2 linked regions of the Macaca fascicularis genome follow. The main gene of each other region encodes a partner of the protein of the gene in region 2 in a complex. Links are inferred from orthologs where the notes say so. Each region holds a gene or a part of one and is shown on either strand. Other genes may lie near its edges. The genes, in order: CD320 and TCN2.

Region 1 (4,302 bases), on a different chromosome or scaffold from region 2:
GTGGCTCATGCCTGTAATCTCAGCACTTTGGGAGGCCGAAGCAGGTGGATCACTTGAGGTCACTGAGACCAGCCTGGCCTACATGGTGAAACCCCATCTCTATTAAAAATACAAAAATTAGCTGGGCGTGGTGGTGCGTGCACTGTAATGCCAGCTACTCGGGAGGCTGAAGCATGAGAACTGCTTAAACCTGGGAGATACAGGTTGCAACGAGCCGAAATCATACCGCTGCACTCCAGCCTGGGCCACAGAGCAAGACTCCATCGCCACAAAAAAAAAAAAAAAGAGCTGGTGGTGGAGTTGGGGTTCGAACTCAGGTCTCACTGATCCCAGAGTTTTCACCAGGCTCCTTACAGCGAGATGATCTACCCAGGAGACCTCTAAACTCAGTGGTTAAAGAGACTGGGGGACAGACCATTTTTCCACATGCCCTGGGTCAAGCTCACGGGCTCAGGTTAGCAGGGAGGGTGTATCTCCTCTAGGTAGCAAAAGGGAAACTGAGGCACTGGGTAGAAAACCTGCTCAGTCACCAAGTCCTGTTGCCTCGCCTCCTGAATTCCTCCCAGACCTATCACTTTCCCCATCCTAAATGTGTCAGCTCCTCACCAGAGCCCCAGGCCCCAAGGTCCATTAGGACACCAGAGAGCTGCCCTTCCTGCTCTCCTCTCTACACCCTGTGTTTTCCCCTCAATTTTCAGATCTCAGCTGATTTCCTGGGACGGTTCTCAAGTCCCTCTCAGAGACCTAGGAAGCACTGCCTCCCACGTCTGACAACTGTCCTCAAAGCCCTGGTCATGCCTGTCCACCCACAGACTGGACAGTCTGTGGAGGTCAGGGCTGTGACCTGGCTGCCTAAACCCAGGGCAGTGCCTGATCATAAGTGGACACAGGTCACATAAGGGTTCAAGCTGGGTCCAGAGAAGATCCAGGCTGTCCTAGATTCTGAGCAGGGAAGCTTAGCTGTTTGCCGACCTGGAGAGGCACAGAGGGGCCTGGAACCTGGGTCAAGGAACAGAGGAAGGGAGTGGCCTTCAAGGCTTCCTCCTGGGTGCGGCCAGGAGAGGTGGCAATTCTGCCACCTGGCTTGGCTTCACTCTGCCAGGGCGTTTAACCTCTTCCACCTTTACCCACCAGCCATGAGCCTCCAACCCCCCACTGCCCACAGTCAGCCCCTCCCCGGCCATCAGGCCCAATTGCACCTGCTTGCCACACGGTCCCTGAGCTCTGTGGAGCCCAGAAGAGCTGTGGACAAACCAGAGCCAGCTTCCTTCCCTGCCCCCAAGGGGTCTGGCAGCCTCCAGGTGTGGCTCTCCACCCAGGCCCAGACTTCCACAGCCCTGACACCTCTGACCTCCCTTCACTGGCCTGCTGGAGTGTGTGTCCCTCTGCAAAGTGGACAGCAGAGCACAGCAGTCCCCGCCTCATAGGGTGGTAAGCCTGACAGGAGTTAGAGTGACCAGTGACTTTCCCTCCTGGCCTCAGTTTTCTCACATGTAAAAGGGGTATGCTGGGAATCCCTACCTCAACATCCTGAGGACAAAGAGACTGTGTATAGAGTTTTGTCCTGTAATCCCAGCACTTTGGGAGGCTGAGGCAGGCGGAACACTTGAGGTCAGGAGTTCGAGACCAGCCTGGCCAACATGGTGAAACCCCATCTCTACTAAAAATACAAAAATTAGCCGGGCATGGTGGTGGTGCCTGTAGTCCCAGCTACTCGGGAGGCTGAGGCAGGAGAATGGCATGAACCCGGCGGGCGGAGCTTGCAGTGAGTGGAGATTGCACCACACTCCAGCCTGGGCAACAGAGCGAGACTCCGTCTCAAAACAAAAAAAACAACAAAAAAACTTTTGTACTTGGTTAACGTGAACCCTGCCTCCTTTAAAAAAAAAAAAACAAAAAACCAGGAACATTTAGCGTGAATGTCAGGGACTTTGGGATGAGTCCAGGGACCTAGAAAGTGCAGAATGCACAAAGGAGCTGGGAAAGTGTGTGAGCTTGAGCCCAGAGCTGCAAGTTGGGAGTGCCTGTGTGCACAGGGAAGCGACTTCAACCCTCCCAGCTGCCTCTAGGAGTATCAGAGAGGGAGCCCGTCCCTACTGGCCACCACCAATACCACTTAGGCCAGGGCGAACATGCCCACGGGGGTATACTGAACTTGTGACCCCAGTCTCTGCGAGGGCCTGGAGTAGCATGGGGGGAGAGACCTCGCGTTCTCCAATGATGGAGGACAAAGGAGAGACGGTCGCGGAACGGTCACAAGGCCTGGGCGCGAGGGTTTGCAAGGCAAAGGTGCGAGAGGCACCACGTGACCCGCCCTGCGTGATTAGCGGTCGGACAATCTGAACCTGCTAAGAGCTTTCCTGACCACGCTGGCATGAAGGGCGGCTTGGAGGTGACAATGGGGCACGACAGAGCAGAGCAGGTGTGGAGAGGGTGCACAGTGCCGGGGCAAAACCGTTAAAGGCAGGTGGAGGCACCCTCTCCCCCTCCCCCAGCATGGGGTCTCCCTAGCTCCAGCCCGCGCCTTCCCGCAAGCGATTAAGTCCAAGTCCACGTGCTGGGGGAGTGTCATGGACGGACGTGCGGTGCAACCAATGGCGAGGCGCTGTCGGAGCGCGGGGGCGGCGCGAATCCTCACGAAAGGTGGGAGCCTGCTCTGCCGGGGGTCACTCACCTGAGGCCTGGGCAGAGGTCCGGGTGGAAAGCGGGGTGGCGGCGACCTCCAGGCCTAGTCCGAGGCCGAGCAGCAGCCGCAGCGCCAAGCCTAGAGCCCCTGTTCGCTGCGCTCCACCCCGCGCCATCCAACCGCTGGTCGAGCTGTCCCCACAGCTGCGCCGGCCACGCGCCGTCCGGACCTCGCTCTTATCCCTGCGCACGCGCACGCGCGGGGCGGAGGCGGGGCCCAAGCCCCCGAGTCCCGCTGCGCCCGCGGCTACGAGTACCGTAAATGTCAGAATAGGAGGAAAAAGAGAATTACAGGCCCGTCCCCCACTTTCCCCAGTGACGAGATCAGTCGAAAGGTATGGAGGCCGCTTGAAGTCAGAAACTTCTGGGGATGGAAAGGAATTTGCTGGTGTTCATTTGGATTATTTCCCGTTCCATGTGAGGACTGCTGCAAACGTTACTGCCTCGTGATCCTCTTTAATATGGCAGCCACGCCCCTCAGGCACTCCCCATTTCCTCCCACATCTCACTGCTTTTGTGGCGCCGACAGTTAATTTATTTTATTTACTTATTCTGGTTTATTGCCCGAGTCCCCATAGAATGCCAGCTACTGGAAGGCAGGGATCTTCTATTGCTCACTGCTTTATTCTCAGGGCCTGACACATAGTGCCTCACTCACAGTAGGCTCTTAGTAATTTGGTGAGTAAATGAATAAATGAAACGTCCATTCTCGGAGTCGGGTTGCTTGGGGGAAAAAAAGGAAAGGAAATTAATTAATTTAATTAAATAATAAAGGCCGGGAGCGATGGGTCACGCGTGTAATCCCAGCACTTTGGGAAGCAGAGGTGGGCATATCTCTTGAGCCCAGGAGTTGGAGATCAGCCTGGGCAACACAGCAAGTCCCCGCCCGCCTCAAGAAAAAAGAAAATTAGCTGGACATGGTGGCTGTAACTTGTAGTCCCAGCTATTCAGGAGGCAGTGAGCTGAGACCACATCATTGAACTCCAGCCTTGGTGACACAGACTTCATCTCAAAAAAAAAAAAAAGTCGTGTTCATAAAACTTGGTTCAGACGCCGTTAGTGGCATGCCTTGCCTAGGGTCTTGCCCTCCTTGTGGCCTCTGCACACCCTGCCTGGTCTTACTCTCCCTCCTGACCTTTCTGAATGTGATTCATCCTTTTGCCCCAAGCAGAATGCCTCCTCCTTGGGCTGTTAGCCTTTGTAGGACCCACTCTGGGACACTTGTACCTGCTGCCTGCAGCCGTGGCCTTTCCCCTTCCAGAGGGCAGGGCCGGCTCAGCACCCTCTCGATCCACAGCTGATCTTTTCTAGCTGCTGAAGGGGCGGGGCTGTGCCCTGGGGAAGCCATGACGCTCCCCTGCTTAGGGTCACTGGGTGGCTCCTGCGGCCAGACTTGGCCACCCTCCCTTTGCAGATTTCTGTCTCCTCCCCAGGAACCAGCTGCCTTTCTCTTCTGGGGCGAACTCATTCTCATCCCACAGTCCCAGCGTAATGGTTTCTGGCTCAGGGAGGCCTTTCCTGATCTGCCCTAGGTTTGCTGTGAGCAGCCCTCACTGTCCTTTGCCTTCCCCGTTGAGCTGCAGGGTGACCAAGGTCAAGCAGCAGCCTCAGTGGAAG
Region 2 (4,292 bases):
TGAGGAATCTTTTGTTCTCTTTCCTGTCTGCAGGGATTTTTTTTGACGTTACTTTCCTAGTTCTGGCAAGTACCCCTGCTTCTGGTAGTTTTGTGTCTCAATTGATTCAATCTCATTCTTTTTTTTTTTTTTTTTTTTTTTTTTTTGAGACAGAGTCTCGCTCTGTCGCCCAGGCTGGAGTGCAGTGGCGCGATCTCGGCTCACTGCAAGCTCCGCCTCCCGGGTTCACGCCATTCTCCTGCCTCAGCCTCCCGAGTAGCTGGGACTACAGGCGCCCACAACCGCGCCCGGCTAATTTTTTGTATTTTTAGTAGAGATGGGGTTTCACCGTGGTCTCGATCTCCTGACCTTGTGATCCGCCCGCCTCGGCCTCCCAAAGTGCTGGGATTACAGGCGTGAGCCACCGCGCCCGGCCCATTCTTTATTTTATTTTATTTTTGACACAGGGTCTCACTTTGTCACCCAAGCTGGAGTGCAGTGGTATGATCTTAGCTCACTGCAGCCACCACCTCCTGGGTTCAAGCAATTCTTCTGCCTCAGCCCCCCAAGTAGCTGGGATTACAGGCATCCGCCACCACGCCCTGTTAATTTTTTTTTTTTTTTTTGTAGAGACAGTGTTTCCCCATGTTGCCCGGGCTAATCTCAAACTCCTGGGCTCAAGTGATCTGCCTGCCTCAGCCTCTCAAAGTGCTAGGATTACAGGCGTGAGCCACTGTGCCCAGCCTTAATCCTATTCTTTAACTTGTTTTGTTTTGTTCTCTCCAGGAGGCTCCCAGCTCTTTCAGATTGGTTGAGAAAAGTGGCCTGGCTGGTCTGGGGCCAGCGGCACCCCTCCCTCCCCCAAACTGCCCAACTCCCCCACCCCTGCAATCCCCTCCTCCACCACCAAGGGGGGTGGTGCTGAAAAACAACTGACTCCAGCAGTGCTGCTCACGTGACCACTGCAGCTGCAGCTCCCGTTCTGCTCCTTGTCCTGGGCTAGGTGGGCACTACCAGGGGCTCCTTCTGTAAGGAGTACTAGGTAGGCACCCGGTCCTGCCGATCCACCACTGGAACAGCTAAGGGGACAGCAGACAGGCACGGTCGGACAGACTTGGCAGATCAGACGTCAGGCCCTCTGTGCTAGTCCCGGGCTCTTTAAGCAGGAACGTGGATGGCCTCAAGATGGCTCACATGGTCCCACTCACCCTCCTCCTCCCTTTGTTCCCTGCCTCCAGGAGGGCTGCTCTGCCCTTCCTTCCTCTGTTCTTTGGCCTTCTGTTCCCTGCCACCACAGACCTTTCCACCCTCTCTCTCTGCTGACTTAGCAGCGCATTGCAGGCCTGGAGGATTAATCAGTGACAGGAAGCTGCCTGTCTCGGAGCGGTGACCGGCTGTGGTCAGGAGAGCCTCAGCAGGGCCAGCCCCAGGAGTCTCTCCCGATTCCGGATCACTGCTCACCCACCTGCTGCTGCCATGAGGCACCTTGGGGCCTTCCTCTTCCTTCTGGGGGTCCTGGGGGCCCTCGCTGAGATCTGTGGTGAGTAACTCGCCTCTGTCCTGTGCCTTGTTCCTTCTGGGTCCTTAGGAGGGTGACTGGGGCATAGGATGGGGGAACTTACCTGCCCCTCTGGGCTCCCATAGCAGTTTGGACTTAGCTGGACCTCAGCATTTAACACATCGTATTGCGACTGATTATATGTCTGACTCCTCACCAGACAAGATCTCCTCCGTTAATTCAGTCTTTAGTTCACACATTCGTTCAGCACATAGTTACTGAGCCTTTTCTGTGTCAGGCCCAGTGTTAGCCTTTGGGGAATGTGCAAGGCGTGAGACAAGTCTAATTCCTGCCATCCTAGAGCTTGTGTTCTGGGGAAGGGGGACAGACAAAAGAAATCAATGGTTAGGTGCTCCCACCTGAAATCCCAGCATTTTGGAAGGCTGAGGCGGGAGGATCGCTTGAGTTCAACAGTTCGAGATCAGCCTGGGCAACATAGGGAGACCCCATCTCTACAAAAAATAAAAAAAATTTAAAAATAGCTGGGCATGGGGAAGACTTTCTGAGGACCGAGAGGGAACATGGGAGCTGAGACTCGAAGGAAGAAAAGGAGCTGGCAGGAAAGGAGTGGGGGACACACATTCTAGGCAGCAGGAAGTGAGTCTTCAGAGGTCCTGCCTGCTCCAGCTCTGTGCCCCAAGGGGTCTCTTGGAGCACACTGTCTCCTGGGACCTGTCTGTGAGTCTGAGCTCAGAGGCTCAGGGCTGCTCCTTCAGACAGGAGGCAGAAGGCAGGCTTCGGGACTCTGGGCCGCCCACGCCTCTTTTCCCCTCCTCTGCACCTAGGATTATGCTCAGCAATACACTTTCACCACCGTGGGCTCTTGTAACTCTGGGGAAACCCTGAGAGGTGGGTGCAGTCATATCCAGGTGTCAAGTAAAGAAGTCGAGGGTTGGAGGGGCTGAGTGACTCGCTCAGGGTGCTCCACCTTTACCAGAGCTTTGCTGAACTTAGTTTTTTAGAACTTTTCTTTTTTTGTTTTGTTTTTTGTTGAGACAGGTTCTCACTCTGTTGCCCAGGCTGGAGTGCAGTGGCACGATCTTGGCTCACTGCAACCTCTGCCTCGCGGGTTCAAGTGATCCCCCCACCTCAGCCTCCCAAGTAACTGGGGACTACATGTGCATACCACCATGCTCGGCTAATTTTTGTATTTTTTGTAGAGACAGGGTTTCGCCATGTTGCCCAGGCTGGTCTCGAACTCCTGGGCTCAAGTGATACTCTTGCTTTGGCCTCCCAAATTGCTGGGATTACAGGCGTGAGCCACTGTGCCCAGCCAGAACTCCAAGCCTCTCATCTGTGTTCCATAAATAAATCAGACTCCTCAGGTCTGGGCCCAGGAACCCCAGCTCTTGGTTCATGTCTGGACAGTTTCCCAGGGGAGTTCTGGGTTCAACCAGCCAGAACTTTCCCTCCTGCAGACCTGGCTGGCCTGGTCCTCAGCCTTGGACACTTAGTCCATTAGCCTGACCCCACAGGAACCCCCATCCCTTGGGGTCTGGGGAACCTTGAACTGGGATTTGGGGTGCAAATATCTGTGCTGAGTCACTTGATTGCGCCCAGCCTCATTCCTTTACCTGTAAAATGGGCTAAGAATGCTCCCCTGCCTTCCTCCTTGGTGTAGTACAAGGGAGGATCCCATGACACCTGCTCTTCCAGTTTAAAGTTCTGTGTGTGTATTGTGAAATTGACAGGGATCACTGCACAAACGCTAATGCAAAGTGGGCTCCTGTGCTTCCTTTTCTCCTTCTTCTTCTTTTTTAAAAAATTTTCTTATAGAGATGAGGTCTCACTATATTGCATGGGGTTGGTTTCAAACTCCTAGGGTCAAGCGATCCTCCCACCTTGGCCTCCCAAAGTGCTGGTATTATAGGCATGAGCCACTCTGTCTGGCTCCTGTGCTTGTGAATGTCAACAGCAATCAGCCCTTAGCTGGCCTGGCTGGCCTGGTAGGGCAAGAGCTCACCCAGGGCTGCTTTTATTACCCTAGGTGAATCTGCCTGTCCCCTTCCTTCTAAGGAGGCTGCTCTGTGGTTGTCAGTCTCTCCCTTTACAGCTGGATCCTGGTCTTTCAGTTTCTAACCCTGTGCTGACTAATCGTGCTGGAGGTGAGAGCCCAGGGTGAGGTCAGGGAACTCCCTTGCGAGTTTCAAGAAAAGGGAGAAGGAAAGAGAGGTGAGGAGGCACAGATGACCAGAGGGACACAGGCTGGGGGAGACTGAGACAGACCCAGAGAGCCTCAGAGACATTGAGGGAGAGAGACAGAGAAATGGAGATAGACATCAAAATTGGTTCTGAGTGAGAGAAAGGGAAAAAAGCAACCCCCCAGTCTCTCTTCATTAACATCTGGTGAGAAACCAGCCATGTGCTCTGGTCTGGGCCCACACAGCAAAGGATTATGTAGGGTTTCATGCTAGTGGATGGCTACCTTATAGCAACAGATATCTGGAGCTGTCGGGAAAACAGACACGAGGTTGTGGGACCCAAACCCACAGAGATGGAGCTGTGTTCTAGGAGCTCTGGTCCTCGCACCAGGAGGCCCAGGAGGCAGATGAGGCATCTTGCAACAGCTCCTTTTCTTAGTCCCCTGGGATATGGCACAGTGGAGGCCACCATCAGGCAGCTGGAGCCCAGCAGCAACTGGGAGGCAGTAAACGGGGACAGAAAGTCCAAGGTGCCTCCAAGGCAAACTACTCTAAACTACCCTGTGCTGAGCTCAGGTCCCTTGGAACTATCCGTAAGGCTTCCACTTCCAGGG

What was found.
Region 1: the proteins of TCN2 (region 2) and CD320 are in contact, whole or in part, in a crystal structure (PDB 7QBF), measured with the Homo sapiens proteins. The link is inferred for Macaca fascicularis from reciprocal best matches to the Homo sapiens genes TCN2 and CD320. Residues at the interface, in NP_000346.2 of Homo sapiens: Asp70, Leu71, His74, Lys77, Leu78, Gln81, Gln82, Glu91, Asp92, Arg120, Gly121, His122, Lys123, Asp125, Arg126, Val128, Ser129, Lys132, Trp133, Glu136, Arg140, Lys169, Arg170, His172; in NP_057663.1 of Homo sapiens: Thr57, Lys58, Leu66, Cys67, Val68, Pro69, Trp72, Asp75, Arg76, Asp77, Leu78, Asp79, Leu133, Glu136, Cys145, Ile146, Pro147, Thr149, Trp150, Asp153, Gly154, His155, Pro156, Asp157, Cys158, Pro159.

The regions. Positions count from the first base shown.
Region 1 is NC_088393.1:8,999,755-9,004,056, forward strand, and holds the start of CD320 (CD320 antigen), read right to left. Parts: upstream 2,837-4,302; 5' UTR 2,802-2,836; coding exon 2,675-2,801; intron 1-2,674. UniProt on the Homo sapiens protein: Receptor for transcobalamin saturated with cobalamin (TCbl). Plays an important role in cobalamin uptake. Plasma membrane protein that is expressed on follicular dendritic cells (FDC) and mediates interaction with germinal center B cells.
Region 2 is NC_088384.1:21,050,213-21,054,504, reverse strand, and holds the start of TCN2 (transcobalamin-2), read left to right. Parts: upstream 1-1,244; 5' UTR 1,245-1,455; coding exon 1,456-1,519; intron 1,520-4,292. UniProt on the Homo sapiens protein: Primary vitamin B12-binding and transport protein. Delivers cobalamin to cells.